Notamacropus eugenii: one gene and its partner. The main gene of each other region encodes a partner of the protein of the gene in region 2 in a complex. Links are inferred from orthologs where the notes say so. Each region holds a gene or a part of one and is shown on either strand. Other genes may lie near its edges. The genes, in order: RCVRN and GRK1.

Evidence for each region.
Region 1: the proteins of GRK1 (region 2) and RCVRN are in contact, whole or in part, in an NMR structure (PDB 2I94), measured with the Bos taurus proteins. The link is inferred for Notamacropus eugenii from reciprocal best matches to the Homo sapiens genes GRK1 and RCVRN. Residues at the interface, in NP_776598.1 of Bos taurus: Phe3, Gly4, Leu6, Glu7, Val9, Val10, Ala11, Asn12, Ser13, Ala14, Phe15, Ile16; in NP_776590.1 of Bos taurus: Lys22, Trp31, Ser34, Phe35, Glu38, Cys39, Phe49, Ile52, Tyr53, Lys55, Phe56, Phe57, Tyr86, Leu90, Thr93, Ser94, Phe188, Glu189.

The regions. Positions count from the first base shown.
Region 1 is NC_092873.1:317,136,937-317,145,468, reverse strand, and holds the start of RCVRN (recoverin), read right to left. Parts: upstream 3,389-8,532; coding exon 3,008-3,388; intron 1-3,007. UniProt on the Homo sapiens protein: Acts as a calcium sensor and regulates phototransduction of cone and rod photoreceptor cells. Modulates light sensitivity of cone photoreceptor in dark and dim conditions.
Region 2 is NC_092877.1:207,270,641-207,278,165, forward strand, and holds the start of GRK1 (rhodopsin kinase GRK1), read right to left. Parts: upstream 3,611-7,525; coding exon 2,909-3,610; intron 1-2,908. UniProt on the Homo sapiens protein: Retina-specific kinase involved in the signal turnoff via phosphorylation of rhodopsin (RHO), the G protein- coupled receptor that initiates the phototransduction cascade.

The DNA of each region.
Region 1 (8,532 bases), on a different chromosome or scaffold from region 2:
GAGTCATTTAAGGCTGCTTTAACTTTTAAACCTATTCCTGGGGCAGGCTAGAGGCCTGTATATGCCCCTCCTGGATACAATTATATGAAACCAAATGTGTCCCACTTCTCTTTTGGCCCTTGGTAGCTACTGGTTAACCTTCCTGGCTTGGAGAAAAGGATAGGATACCAGCACTATTCTAGTGCTTCCTTTGCTCCCCACCCTCCGTCCCAGCCTGCCAATGAATTTAGCAATACTAACTCTATGTCTAGAGAAATTGTGAAAGTGATAAATCCTCTCCTGAACTCAAAAAAGTGAAAGAATTTGACTTGTCTTCCCCTAGGTCCAATAAGTATCCTAGTATTTCCTGTGTGGGAAATAAAGAACAATCAGAATGGCTTTGATTGGACAACTGAGGAGAAAAGGGACAGAGCGAAATACAAAGGCACAAGTCTTGGTGCCTTTAATACCCAGGTCCTCTATATCCTTCTCTATTTGACTTGAAGAGGTAGGGATCCTGCAAAATGAAATGAGCAGAGATTCTCCAAGAGAAGAGATTTGAATTTTGGATAACTTCCCAGTTTTCCTCTGGTCCCAACTCCATCTTAAAATCATAGAACTATAGCATGATAGATAGTGGGAGCAGAGGGATCTTTATTTCCACAGCAGGAAACTGAGGCCCAGATTGGGGATGCAAGTTGCATTCCGAAAGTTACATAATGAGTTAGTGTCAGAGGTAAGACCAGAACAAAGGTATTCCAATATCTAGTTCTGGCCAACGCTCTTGCTAGTGTATTATTAGTAATTTCTATTATCCTATAACTTAAAATGTTACTCCACACTTTCTACCCACCATCGTAGCCCTTCCTTATCTCCTTCCACCTCCTTTCTTCCCTTGCCCTAGGGAGCACCCATATCCCCTCAAAGAAACTTCTAACCCTAATAAGACTAACCCCCCACAGGCATCTCTAGAGGATGCTGCTGCTATCTGGCTAAATAATCAACACAGACTACCTTTGGTCCCTTTCTCACAGTCAATATGAAAATGTGACCCTCTCTATGCTTCCTCAAGGATGATACAAATCCATCACAGCCATTGCAGCCTATAGTGATCCATTCATGAGAATGCTCAGGAAGAGCATTCTGTGTGCATGGTAAAAAGAATTTTGCAAATGAATATCCAATTGAAAAATGTATATAGACTTTGTCTACGGAAATATTTATGCTTATTGATGATTTTCTAGCTCATGCTTTAAAAAATGTAAAGAAATGTATAGAGAAGCGTGTGCAGTCTTAAAACAAAGAATTAGCACATATGTAACCTACATCAGATTGCTTGCCTTCTTGGAGAAGGGGGAGGAGGGAGAAGGAAAGAAAAATTTGGAACTCAAAATCTTATGAAAAATGAATGCTGAAAAACTGTCTTTATATGTAATTGGAAAAAATTAAACACTATTTACTTAAAAAAAATAATCAGTCCTTGCCCTCTCCCTCAAATCCACATTTCCCTTCATAATAAGAATAGGATTAGAATGCAAAAATCTTTGTAAAAGGCCAGTCACTAGGGGGAAAGAGAGGGGAGGGGAGATCCTAGGAGCAGAGGTTTAGACCTAAAAGGGACCTCAAAGGCCATCTAGTTCAGCCCTCTTATTTTATAGAAGAGGAAACTAAGGAAGAAAAGATTAAAAGACAAAGTGCAAAACTTCAAAGAAGCTAAAAAATGGGAAATACAAATGCTACAGAAGTCTACAAACACTATTGATATAAATGACTATCTTTGATGTCTACCTACGACATCAGAGCTGAAAGGAACTTCCGAAAGTCATCAGTTCAACTCTTCTCCAATCCTCACTTCCCTACAATTGACTGGAGCAAAGTCACACTGCTGGTTTTTAAGTAGGAGAGCTGAGACTAGAATCTGAGCTGCCTGTCTTAGTGTTTGCTGTTTTATACATTTCAGACATGGTATCTATGTAAATATCATTGTGTGTTATATAATTTGAGTTTGTAATATTTGCAATTTTGAAGAAAAAATATCCAAATGCTAGAAAATTCTTCTATTGCATCAGGAATATTTTCTCAAAAACCATAGGAAAAATACCTACAGTATGATTGTGTTTAATACATTAGAAAAGCCACTCTTTCTGTGTTCTGCATGCTATGTGAATAGAGGTCAATGAGAAAGTTTATCTCCTGGCATTACTTTTCCCTCGAAAATACTAAATATGAAAGTATATTTGGCAAAATTATCTATGGTAGCAAGGATTGGGAAGCTAGGTAGCACAGTGGATAGAGTGCCAGGCCTGAGGTAAGGAAGATTCATCTTCCTGAGTTCAAATCTGGCCTCAGACACTTAATTAGCTATGGAACCCTGGGCAAGCCTCACTTTTCTCATCTGTAAAACAAGCTGAAGAAGGAAATGACCAACCACTCCCATATGTTTGCCAAGAAAACCCCCAAAATGGGATCACTAAGATTGTTGGACATGACTGAAACAACTGAGCAACAGCAGCTTGGGGTGCTGGAAGAAGGCTTAATTTTCTCTTCTTTGATTTTACCCTTCATCCTCAGGAGTATTTCAAACCCTCTGGTATCCTAGATTAACATTCATGACTTCCTTTAATATATCTAATTCAAAATAGTTCTGAGGCCAAATTAGTTTGGGAAACAAGCATAAAGAATAACATTTAAATCAATTCATGATGATCATAGAGAAAAAGCATATATCTATGAAACAAACCCACCCAGACCTTGCCTAAGCTATCCCTGATCAAGGACATGGTTGCAATGAGAAAACACTGGCCTGGAAATCAGGAAATTCAGTTCTTAGTTCCTGCTCTGCAACTAACTGGCTCCAGCCAAGTCCCTTTTCCTCTCTAACCTTATTCCTCCTCTGTAAAAGGAGGGACTGGATGACCTCTAAGGTCCCTTCCAGCTCTGGCTCCATAAGGTAAAAGTTCTGTGATTCTAGGTCATTGACTCCACTGGGTCCCAGCCAACCAATGATGGGAGTGAGGATAAACTATACCATGACGATCTCAAGTACTTCATTTTTGCTGATGGTACCATTGCCATCTATGTCGTAGAGGGAAAACGCCCACTCCAGTTTCTGTTGGGTTTTGCCAGCTGTGGTCATGTGGAGCGCAATGATATATTCCTTAAAGTCCAACGTCCCATCGTTGTTTGCATCGAAGCTGCGGAACACATGCTGGGCATAGGCCTTCGGGTCTGCATCTGGGAAAAATTTGGAGTAGATGCTCTCAAACTCCTGTCTGGTTATCTTGCCACTGGGGCACTCCTTCAGGAAGGACTGGTACCAGGCACATAGTTCCTCCTCTTTGTATTTGGTATTTAGCTGCAGCTCCTCCAAGATATCTTTGGATAGGGAGCCACTTCTGCTGTTTCCCATGGGTGAGGGTGATTGGGTACCAGACAAGTAGTAAATGCTAAGTGGCAGCTAGCCTCCTCTCTCTGAACTGAGGCTGACTCGACACAAGGTTCAGGGTTTTCAAATTAAGACAAAGCCTGTGGTGGATTAGAAGGATTTGTGGTCATTACTAATCTTTTAGCCACTTCTCTACCCCATGTACTAATAGGAAGTACTGAACTCTTCTGGCTTAGAAATGATGTCCTCTGAGCCCTCTCCCTCCTATCATGATCTTAGGAGCTCAGAATATCAAGATTAATTCTTATTTTAAGAAAAGAAAAAGAGCTTTTAGCGAAGCTTTGCCAAATGAGTTTCCTTTGTTGGTCAATATCTAGAAAACATGCATCCCTTTTCCATTTACCATTTGATATTCTGGTGGCATCTCCATATTATCCTTGAGGGTCCATGAGGGCATGAAGTGTATCTCACCTAACCTTTATATTTCTTTCAAGGACTCTCATAGTCCCCTGCTCATATCATTTCATTTCACTTGCTTGTTCCTTTTCTAGACTCTTCAAGACCCAATATACACTTACCTCTGATTCTTTTATATCCATAAACTCCCTCTACAAATTCATCATTAATGGAGCAAATAAATTTCCCACACATGCTATGCTCCATGGCCATTCTTAAAATCAGGTATGATCAGAGCTGGAGGTCACTTGGTCCAATCCACTTCATTTTATTTTTAGGAAATTGAGGGCCAAAGAGGTGAAGAGACTTTTCCAAGATCACACTTAGAAAGGCAAAGTCAGAACTAGGACCCAGATTCTCCTGCCCCACAGTGGGCAGAAGTAGAGAGTTAATTTGGGGCTCTACAGTGGGTCTTCTGGCAGCACCTTCCACATACACATCCTTGCTGAATGCTGCTCAAAATTCTTCTTAAAAAGTTCTTCATCTTTGATGAAATATGTAATGCCTCTAAAAGAGGTTTTACAGTGAAATGAAAATATGTGATATTAGTCACTTTTTAGCCAGCAGAGGGATAGGGTCAGAGATGAGGCAAGAAAGGATATAGAATGAGAATTCAAAATACCTCTGGTGTGAGAAAAGAAGAAAATAGGGCAAAGTACAGGCTGGGGTCCCTCAAGGGTTACAATTTTGTCTAGATTGTTTTTTTGAGAGTGGATCTCTTTATGCTGTCCACGTTGGAAGTAGAGTGGTCACTCATGGCTGACTCCAGTGCTGATCCCCTCTAAAGCTTTAACCTGCTTCATTCCTGGCCAGTTCTTCCCCTTCCTTCCAGGCAACCTGATGGCTGCCTCACTTGTGGAGGCTCACCATGTTGGAATCAGCCTTAGTGATGAGACTCTATCAGCTAGCTTGAGCTATATTCCAGCTCAGAGCTCCGAAGGTTAAGTGATCCACCAGTTTTAACCTCCCTAGTTGCAGGTATTTTAATGGTTTGTCCTACTATGCCCAGTAACAGTCTTATTGATCAATCTTATCAGTCAATAAATCAATAAATTATCAAACATCTACTATGTGCTGGGATTGTAAAGACAAAAAATAAAACGGTAAATAATGGCTGCCCACAGAAGGATTCTATGGGAAGAAACAATATGTGCACATATAAATACAGCCATATGTTTAGATATACCCACTGGGGATGTGAGAATCTGACTTTATATGGAAGATTTTCATTTCATATCCCTGCTTTAGATAACCAGGCTTTCTTTGCTTTTATGAGGACTGATTTCCATTTTGACTGCCAGAAAAATTTAGCTCCACACTAAAAGTCACTGTGAAGTCACTTTTGAAACTATCTAGCTGGTGTCTGCTGTGTTAAGTTCCTCCAGAGTAGTGGTGATTTACCGTTTTATAGTCTTAGCAATTTCATGCATCAGGCCCCCTAAAATGAAAAAAGTGTTGAAGTGACTCACCTAAATCTTCCGCCCTGTTCTTGTTCTTCCACACATTGCATGATATTACCATTCTTGGTGAGTGATATCATTTGCACTGTTGTTTTTCTTTGGTGGTGGTGGTGGTAGTGTCTTCACTATTCTATTAAGACTTTTTTTAAAGATTCAATTACATAGACATTGATTATAAATGGATATTGAATGAGCTAATTTGGAGGCTCAGGAAAAATTGTTCCATTGAAGTGAGTGGTAATTACCTTTTCTTAAAAGTTTCCTCTCTAGTGTTTTTCAAGAGTTAATTAATTTTCTAAAGGGGTGGGGGAAGCTGTATATAAAAACCAGATATATACATGCAAAATACAAGGTGTTTTTTTGTGGGCGGTGAAAGCACTAGCATTTGGGGAGATGAGGAAAAGTCTTCTGCAATAAGTGAAGTTTAAGCTAAACTTTGAAGAAAACCAGGAATTCTAAAAAAAAAATCAGAGGTCAGTAGGGAGTGCATTAAAGTCAGGGGAGAAAGCCTGTGCAAAGTCAGGGACTGGAGAAATTGAGTGCCCTATGGAGAACAGCAAGAAGGCCATTAGGCTGAATCCAAGAGGGTGTGAGGCAGAGTAATGTGTAAGGATGGAAAGATAGGTTGTGAAAATCTTTAAGTGTCAAACAGAGGAATTTGAACTAAATCCTAGAAGTAATAGGGAACCACCAGTTTATCAAGCAGGGGAATGACACAGAGGATTAGACCCGTGCTTTCGAACATCATTTTGGTAGATATGTGGAGAATAGATTGTAGAGGAGACTGAAAATATCTTAACTTGTAAGAACAGGGAGCACAAAGTCTAACATCTTTTCCATTTTCTGTTAAAGGTAAAACTCAACACTTGTAGAAATTCTGTGACAATACAAAATCTATTCATCAGGGACTGAAGGAGGAGGGAGATGCCTGTTCATTGACAATTTGGCAGGCGTGTGTGAGTCACAGGGATAATGGACTATTTATTCGGAATTTTGCCTCTATGCTAATATGGGGAAGATTATTTTCCACGGGACTTGCAATCTTAATCATTATCTTACCAAAGTCCTGTGGACCTGGATCAAATAGTTAATTGCCCCCAGGTTTGTGTAACCACAGCCCAAAGCCACTATTTGCTTCCAGTTCCATTAAAGGCTCAGGCCCTTTGCAGCAGTGTCAGAAGCTGATTCACTGAGCTGAGTTGGGAGCTCTGTGCAGACAGATGGGGTAGATGATCCCAAGGCTTCAGCTAGTACCTTTATAGGCACCATATGACTTTGTATGTCTGAATCTTAGGGCCCAAGAAGCTCTTTGTGATTCTCTAAATCATTACAATGGAGAAAGGGAAGGCTCTGTTGGTGTGTGCTTGGCAGACCAATATAGGGTCTATTACCTTGACTTGTACATTTATCAAGACCCCAATAAAAACAATCAATTACTTTGTAGCCAAGTATCAAGGGGTAATAATGACCCCAAGCCATTCCCTAGGGAATTCCACTATCTCCAGGAGAGCAATCCTTGTAGAGATCCTACCAGACATCTGTCTCCACAGGTGCTGTAGCCTTACCTCTTCAGCAGCCACAGTTACTAAAGAGTCAAAAATGATTTTTTTTACTCCAAAATCTTTGGTATTATTAAATTATCCAACATCAGAAATAAATACGGTTTCATCAAAAGAGATAATACTAAAGAAAGTACATTGCCACCTGTTTGGTGGCTGCATCCTGAAGACCACTTGACCTTTCCATTAATCTTGCAGCTATACTTTCCCTATATATGTGTTGTGTCCTCTTATTAGCACAGAGTCTTGCACATAGTAGGTATTCAATTAATTTTGATTGTTGTTAATTTATCGAACTTCTTACTGGGATAAATCACCATCTGGTGGCAACTATACTCATAGGATTGGATCATTGGAAGGGACTTCAGAGGTCATCTAGTCTATCTAACCTTTAACTAAAAAATAATTCTGCCTCTTGAAAACTTCCAGTTGTCCCCAGGACCACAACTTTGCCCTGGGGAGAAGTAGGGAAAAGGGGCACAGGATTACAGAATTTAAAGCAAAACTTGGCCCAACCTTGATATTTTTTTCTTAGTATTTTTTAGTATTTTTCTTAGTATTTTTTTATATTTTCTTAGTATTTTTCTTAGTATTTTTTCCTTGGTATTTTATTTTTTCCCCAATCATATGTCAAAACAATTTTTAGCATTCATTTTTACAAGAGTTTGAGTTCCAAATTTTTCTCCTTGTCTCCATTCCTCTCTTCCTAAAATGGTAGGCAATTTGATATAGGTTATACATTTGCTATCATGTAAAACATTTTCATATTAGTCACAGCTGTAAAATATATATGCTTCAATCTGCATTCAGAGTCCATCAGTTCTTTATCTGGATGTGGATAGCATTTTCCTTCATGTATACTTTATAAGTACAAAAGATTGGATCATTGTGCTGCTGAGAAGAGCTGAGTCATATATACTTGTTGCCCACACAAGGATTTTGGGCAGCCTGCAAAAAATATAGAGGATGTAAGTATAGCTCAGGTCGTCCTCAGATCCCAAGGCTGTTCTCAGACAGAGCTAATAGGGTTCACTGGCCTTTTAAGAAGAAGCAATTAAGCCTAGAGTGTGGCTCACAGACCAGTCTGGTGCTGGAACAGCAGGGACAGGACTCAGAACAGGCTTCAGGGTGCCACTGGGAGTAGTTCCCAGATTGCTGAACCCAGAAACACCACAGACAGCTTCAAAGGTCAGTACAAGGGCTCTTTCACCCAGGAGAGAGGAGCAGGGTCTGGACCTCTGCCAGCAGGCACTGCAGTGGCAGCTGTCATTTTTGGCACCTTCCGCCTAGAGCCCCTGGGAAAATTGAGTCACTGATCTGATTTTCAGCCTTGAGCTACACTCCAGGGTGAGGAGGAGAACTGGTGGTGGAGCTGGAGGTGGTTGTGGTAAGGGAATTCCAATTGCAGATTCTGGGCAGAAAAGTTTTTGGTTGCTCCCATACCAGTGTGCAGGCCAGGAGAGGAATAAACTCCTCTCCCTTGACTGTGCCACCTTGGAGGAACTGGGAACTCACAGATACCCAGAATATATTCTCCTCTTGACAAAGGACTCAAAAGTCAAGTAACTAACTGGGAAAATGCCCAAAAAGGGAGAAAAAATAAGACTATAGAAAGTTACTTTCTTGCTGAACAGGTATTTTCTCCCATCCTTTCGGATGAGGTAGAGCAAAGCATAATATCAGAGGAAGTTTG
Region 2 (7,525 bases):
AATTAGCAACAAGCAATCTCAAAGAACTTCACCAATAAATACTAGCCCCATTTCACAGATGGAAAAACTGATTCCTCATAAAATCATAAAGGTACAAGGGACTTAAAATGGTCACCTTGTCTAATCCCCTGCTTCCAGACAGGTTAATGTCTAAGGTAGCCAGGTTAGAAGCTGCTGCATTTTGTTTTTAAAAGACAGCCAGAGATGACAATTCGACAATCTCCCTTGATAGCCTGTTCCAGTGTTTAATCCCCTTACAGTCAAGCAGTTCTTCCTTATGTCTAACCGAACTCTCTCTTGCTGCAATGCCAGCCCATTTCCTCTTGTTCAGGCCTCTGCAGAGATGGAGAGCAACTGGTCAGTGTCCTCCCAAATCTTTTAATATCTTTATTTTAAGCCCTTTTTACTTTCTATTTAAATGTCTTTAAAATTTTGCTCTGTTCACCTTGGATTTGCAACTAGAAAGAGGAAATAATCTCTTGGGAGGAAAAAAAGAAAGCTTGGCATCAGAAAGGTTTGTATGTAAGCCTACAATGAGGAAAAAAAATGTAAATTTTACTTCATTTTTACCCATATCTAGTTAGCTTATTGATCTGGAAGAAGAAGGTATTATGGTAAGTATTGAGAGAGGGACTGGCTCTGGGATTTCACTGGCATGAGGAATTCCCATGAGAAGAAACTCTCTTTACCAATATAGGTCAGCATCTCCTCTGCAACTCCTAGTCTTAGAAAGTTGCTTAGATTCAGCACAGAGAGAGGTCAAGGGTCGTGCCCAGAATCACACAGACAACATGTGGAAGAGGCAGCCCTGGAATTCAAGTCTTCCTGGTTTAAAAGTCAGCTCCCTCTCCTTTATGTCAAACTACCTTTCTTGACCAGGTAAAAAGAATAATTATTACTTTTCTAAGATCCCATCATCAGAATTCTACAGCCTTTTCCTTGGAACTCATGTTTCCCTCGATTGATTTAATATTTTTGTCTTTAACCTCTTCAGTTCAGATCAATTGACCAGAGATATGGTCATACCAAGCACAATCACCACCTAGTTATGTGCTAATTCTTCTTTCTTCCTTCCTTCCTTCCTTTCTTTCTGTCTTACGGTTATAGACAGTCCCCACTCACCAAATAGTACTGGATTCTAGTACTGGATTCTATCTTTCTCCCTGTCATTGACTGTCCCCACTACACCATCTACTAGTGCACTATTTGTTTCTTTTTTTAGACCAGTCTCAGACGGTTCCTACTGCACTATTGAGTTGGATGTCATTTGTTGGTTTGTTTCTTTAAACAAGTCACAGACTGATCCTACTTACAAATTTCCTGCATTTGAAAAGTGCCTCAGTAATAGTACTAGTTGCCCTGAGCAACCTTTGGAGGAAAACAGAGCACCTCATTTGGTCAGATATGTGTCAAGGTCAATGGAAAGGCCAAAAAGATGTGTTTACAAGTCACTTTACAGAAATTAACAGGGACTCCTTCTCAAATGGAACATTGGCATAAGTGAAGGAGGAGTGGACCCCATGCAGCATGACCCCATCATGACATGGAACAACTGCAATTTTTAAAAGTTAGGATGAAATGTGCATTTCTTATAAGGTGAAGGTCAGTGTTGGTCTCTGGTGTCACTGAAATCCCTAAGAGGCAGATATGGTATAATAGATATAAAGCTGGACTCCTAGCCAGGAAAACCTGGGTTCAAGTCCTACCTGGGACATATACTGGTTTTGTGACTCCGGGCAAATTATTTAATCTTTCAATGCTCTGGGCAAATAAATTTTAAATTGCAGAAAAGGTGCCAATCTGTATTGTTAGAGGGAGTTTCCTCACCAGGAATTCCCTATTCTGATGAAATCACAGGTCCAGGTTTTATCCCTAGCCACTATGGAAAACTGTACCTCTCTTTTTAGAGCACAAAGTAAGTTATGATTGTGCTGAGTATATTTCCAAAACCCAGACTGAGGCACCTGGAAGAATAAGGCATTCCTCCAGCTATATTTCTAAGGTAGTAGTTTTAAAATGTATGTGTGTGTATATGTGTGTGTGTGTGTGTATATATATATATATATAAAATATACACATAAGTATATACATGTATGTGTATATGTGCATATATGTACATGTGTATACATATGTATACATATATATGTGCGTGTGTATATATATACATGTATATATACATATATAAAATAACTACTATACCGATATATCCTATGGGTTGGCCACAAACCAAAGTAATACCCAGATTACTTTTAAAACAATTGATATTAATTACAACAATAGAACTGGAAGAGGTGAACCATATCATCACTGGACTGGAAGGGGTGTTAAGAGGTCATTCAATCCATTCTCCTCCCTTAGTGATTTAGCTTTCAGTGTCATAAAACATCGAAACTCAAGTCCTATACCACCAGGTATGGGTATCCCATCTTAAAGATATAATGTATATTTTTTGGTCTGGACCTGTGATTTCATCTATGTAGGGAGCTCCCAGGTGGGGACTCCCTCTTCCAATGTAGAAGAGCAGCCACTCTATTATTCTGGGCACTAAGAGGTTAAATGGTTTGCCTACGATCACACTGCCAGTACATGTCAGAGTTGGAACTTGAATCCAGGTTGTCCAGATTCAAGGGCCAGCTTTCTATTCACTGTATCATGGTTGCTTCATTGACCAGAACGCTAGCCATGGACAGTTTGGCTACTACTCCAAGTCAAGATTGTCTATACCCAAAATGCAAGCCTCTACTCTGTATTAGAGCTATGTGAAGAGAGTGACTGAATTTCTACATCCCAGTGAATGTACTGCCATGCCCACTGCCCCACAACCTTGCCACCTCCCACTTCTGCCCCATCTTGGGAATCTCAAAGGCATTTACTTTGGACTTGCTGGGACCTATTTGCTGCTGCTTACTTGATACCCTTTTCTTTTCTTCAGCCTCTTCTTATTCAGTTTTTTACAGGCGTACATCTTGCCTGTGGCTTTCATCTGGCAACCTGACACCTCCCCAAAACCCCCTTTCCCCAGGACCCTGAAGTCCAAAAACCAGTCTTCCCCGATGGGCTGAGCTTCCAGCCACTTCCACTGCAGGAATCTCAAGAAATATAAGCTCTCCATGTACTCTTGGAAGGGAACCTCACTCAGGTAGTGCAGAGCTACTTCAAGAAGAGGTTGGAAGAGTCCATTGGGGATGCTTGAGTGTTTCTCCTTGACTTTCTCAACCATCCCTTCCTCCAGGAAACTGCAGAAAAGCTTGGCCTTAGGGTCCAGGTAGTCAGCAAGGATGCCCTGGGCTTTCTGAAGGCGAAAATCATCGTCAGCGGTGTCATAGTCTTCAATGTCCCTCCATAACTCGACTGCAGGGACATACCGTTCATCATTCTTTAGGAACTGTTGGAACAGGCGCTTGCCAATAGGTTGCTCAGAGCAAATGTTTTCAAATTCTAAGTTAAGAGTGTCCCGTAGGGATTCACATTTGGAGAGAGGAGGCAGTTTGAGCTTTGAAAGGTACTTCTTGTCCCGGGATAGATGCGAACTACCACTTGCATCGATACTGGCCCGGGCAGCTATGAAGGCAGAGTTGGCCACAACGGTCTCCAATGATCCAAAATCCATCCCTCAGGCTCTTCAGTCTCTGTGTTCACACATGAGAAGTCACGAGTTAAAGCTGAATTGTGAGAGGATCCTCAGAACTGATTTTTGGGGAATGACCCGTCCTTGGCCTGTGGCACCCTCCTGCCCTCCCAGGGGACAAGGGAGACGTCCTGTCCAGTGCAATGACCAAGGAAGAAGCAATGTAAAAAACAAACAGATCCCCAGGTTCCTAGGTAATGTGCAAGATCAGCACCTATGCTAATCCCTGGGATCCTTAGATATAGGTGGAGGTTGAATTAGATGTGATGAACCAGGGTCAGAAAAAGATAATTCTCCTGAGTCATCACCTTTGTAGCCTTCTTATCTGATTAGGCAGATAATTATTCTCATCTCCCTCTCTCTTTAAGATCATATTTATTTTGTTGCCTAGAAAATTTTGAATACTTTGGGTAACGTTCCTTGCAAGGCCACTTAAGATACAAAATACCCAGAAATCACCAATTTTTCCCTCTGATTCTGCATTCTACTTGGACAAACACAGTTGGACTCCCTACCTCGCTGTTCCGGTGTTGAAAAATATTAACATATTTGAAACTTGTTTAGTCAGACCCTTTGGAGGAGGGTGTTAAATAAACCTGGAAGATTAAATGCCTCCACGCAAGAAAATCCAATTAATGAGGTATTAACATAACTAATCAGAACCCCTGTCTAACTGGATTTTTATTTCTGCACTTTACTTTATGAGAAAGAAGAAAGTGAAAAGAAAAACCAGTGTCAAGAAGGTTTGAGAAGAAGAAAAAAAACATTTTAAATATACAATACCATTTCCTGGAAACATCCTGAATTTAAAAGCAAAGCATCATGCTCCAGCTTTTAGCACAGTGTTTGGCACAAAGTAGGCAATTTATGGATGTTTATTGATAATGGCAAGAGCCGCATTTGAGTTGTTGACTCCTCAGAATCAGGAGACCCATATCTAAATCCTGGCCTCATTGCTTAACCATGTGACCTTGGACAAGTCACTGAGGTACTCTGAGCCTCAGTTTTCTCACCCCATAGAATGAAGGAGTTGGATTAGAAGCTCACAGTCTCTTGCAGCAATAAATCTCTGATGTTACGATTTATAAAGTAGGGATATAAAATGGATGTTGTGAGGAAAGAATTTTGTACACGATTTTTTAAAATTGGAAATAGTGTTAGAGAGCCTATAGGAGACTAGGCACATGAAAATAGGATTAAGGTAGCTGTGAATTGGTAAAAAAACAAAAAAACAAAATCCCACACTTTTGTAAATTGGGAATTATCTGACAAAAGTCACTAAACTGTTCATACTGCTTAGCCCACAACCACTCCTCAGTATGTGCTCTAAGATCAAAAGAAATCCCTCATTTATACAAAATTATTCTTAAAAATATTAACATTGAAAGAACACATATGATGATAATAAAAATGATACTCTCACTGAAAGGAGTTAAACTCTGGTGATTGGCAATAAACAGTCCATCTTCTGGAAAACTGATAAGGAAACACATGTGTATTTCTCCCTTTTTAGTAAATATCACCAGTGTGGCAGTTTATCCACAGTGTGTTTGATAGGCAGATAGAAAACTCCTTCCAGAGGATATCAGTTTGGAGATGAGATCAGGGCTTTACAGATTATTTCAGAAATAGTCTGCAGAATACAGGAATGGGCTAGAGAATTAGAAAGAATAAAGAGGATCCAGGGTAGGGTTGGGAGATGATATGAATTTAAAAGTAGCAGGGTATGGCTATAAGTCAAATAATGGAGGTAAAATGCTTTGTTAACTAAGCACTATATTAATGTTAGATCATTGTTATCGAGGGGTGGATAATCTGCAGGACTGTTTGTGTCTCAAGCACCTTTCTAGTTCATATAGATTCAATCCCAGATGAGTCACAATTTTTTGAGGTGGAAAGAGTTCCTAACTGGAGACTTTCTGATTATGAAATCAAAGATGTTCTGTACATTCATGCATAATAAATATATAGGAGAGGTATAGTATAGTAAGAAAAAATGGAAAAAGCAAAGATTACTTATAGCTGAGGAAATCAGGAAGGTTTCATGGAAGAGATGACAAAAATTGACCTAGGACTTAAAAGAAAACAATTTAAACAGGTGGAGATAGCAGGGAGGCCATTTCATAATAACTCCTTACTGACTTGAATTTGACAAGGTTGCAGTGGATGGGGCCTGAAGTTAGAAAAACTCATCTTCTTGAGTTCAAATCTGGCCACAGATACTTACCAGCTGTGTGACCCTGGGCAAGTCACTTGACCCTGTTTGCCTCAGTTTCCTCACCTACAAAATGAGCTGGAGAAGGAAATGGTGAACCACTCCAGTATCTTTGCAAATGGGGTCATAAAGAGCCAAATGCTACTAGAAATGACTGAATAACAACTTGAATTTATATTTCTTTCTAACCTTCTCAAAAGTGAAAGAATGAAAATAAGCCTCGGTTATAGAATCTCACTCTGAAACCAGGTCTCCTGCAAAGTCCTTCTGGCTTAGGACATAGGATCATAGTCTGGGAGCTGGAAGGGAACTTAAGGGTCAAATTCAACCCCTTTTACAGATGGGGGAACTGAGACACAGGAGTTAAGGAACTTGCCCAGAAGCACACAGCTGGTAGGGGTTTGTGGCGTAGTTAGATCTTAGGTATTCCTGACTCCAAGTCCAATGCTCTATGCATTAGGCCACCCAGCTGACTTAGGATAAGAATACAAATTAAGAGAAGATATAATTCATCATCAAATAATGTCAAAGCTATCATTATGCATGAGTTGGCTAGCATAATAACATGAATAATATAAATACATTTAAGACAGCCTCCCCAACTCAGCTCAGGCACTTGTTTTAATCAGCACTAACCTTTAATCAGAACTCTTCGCCATAATTAGAGATGAAAGTTCCTTTGATTTCTTACGCTTCTCCACAAGAGGCTGATGAAGCGGTATGTTTGAGCAGAAAGGGTCACAGGACTTGGAGTCAAGGGAGTCCTAGGTTCAAATAAAGCCTCTGACGCTAGCCATGAGCAAAGACAAACCTCTCCGAGTCTCAGTCTTCTCATCTGTAAAATGGGGATGATGATGCCTGTAGCCTCTCCCTCACAGGGCCATTATCTGGAGCAGATGAGAAAATGCATGTAAAGTATTTTGCAGACTTTGAAGTATCATATAGATATTAGGTATTATTATTATTATTACAAGGTGCATAGGAAGTGTGGTATAAGGGAAAGACCACTGGAATCAGGCAATTTAATTTCTAGTCTTTGCTCTGCCATTTATTAACTGTCCTCTGAGCTTCCATTTTCTCATCTGTAAAATGGGGATAATAAAGTAGGCTCTTTCTAATTTAAAAGGTTGTGATGAAGATTAAATGTGTGATCAAACTAAAATCCACAAATGTTTTCCCACCTAAGAAGGACAGGCCTCTCCTTCCTTCTTTTTTCCTATAACAGAGATTTGCTGTTCAGTTGTTTTTCAGACATGTTTGACTCTTTGTGACCCCATTTAGGTTTTTCTTGGCAAAGATGCTGGAGTAGTTTGTCATTTCCTTCTCCAGCTCATTTTACAGAAGAGGAAACTGAGGCAAACAGAGGTAAATGAGTTGCCCAGGGGCACACTGCTAGTAAGTGCCTGAGGCCAGATTTGAACTCAGAAAAATGAATCTTCCTGACTTCAGGCCCAGTCTTCTATACACTGTACTGTGACAGAGATTAGTTTTCCCTAAAAAGAGACAAAAGAGGTTCTATGTTTCCCTTGCAAACTTAAGGGCATAAAAAGTCCCATATGTGTGCAGTCAGGGACCTCGAATTTGATAGATTTCCAAAAGCCACATGAGTCACTGTGTCCTTCACCACATACTGCCCTGTTGACCAATTTTCCTTTTGGAAGGGACAAACCCAGCACCACTGC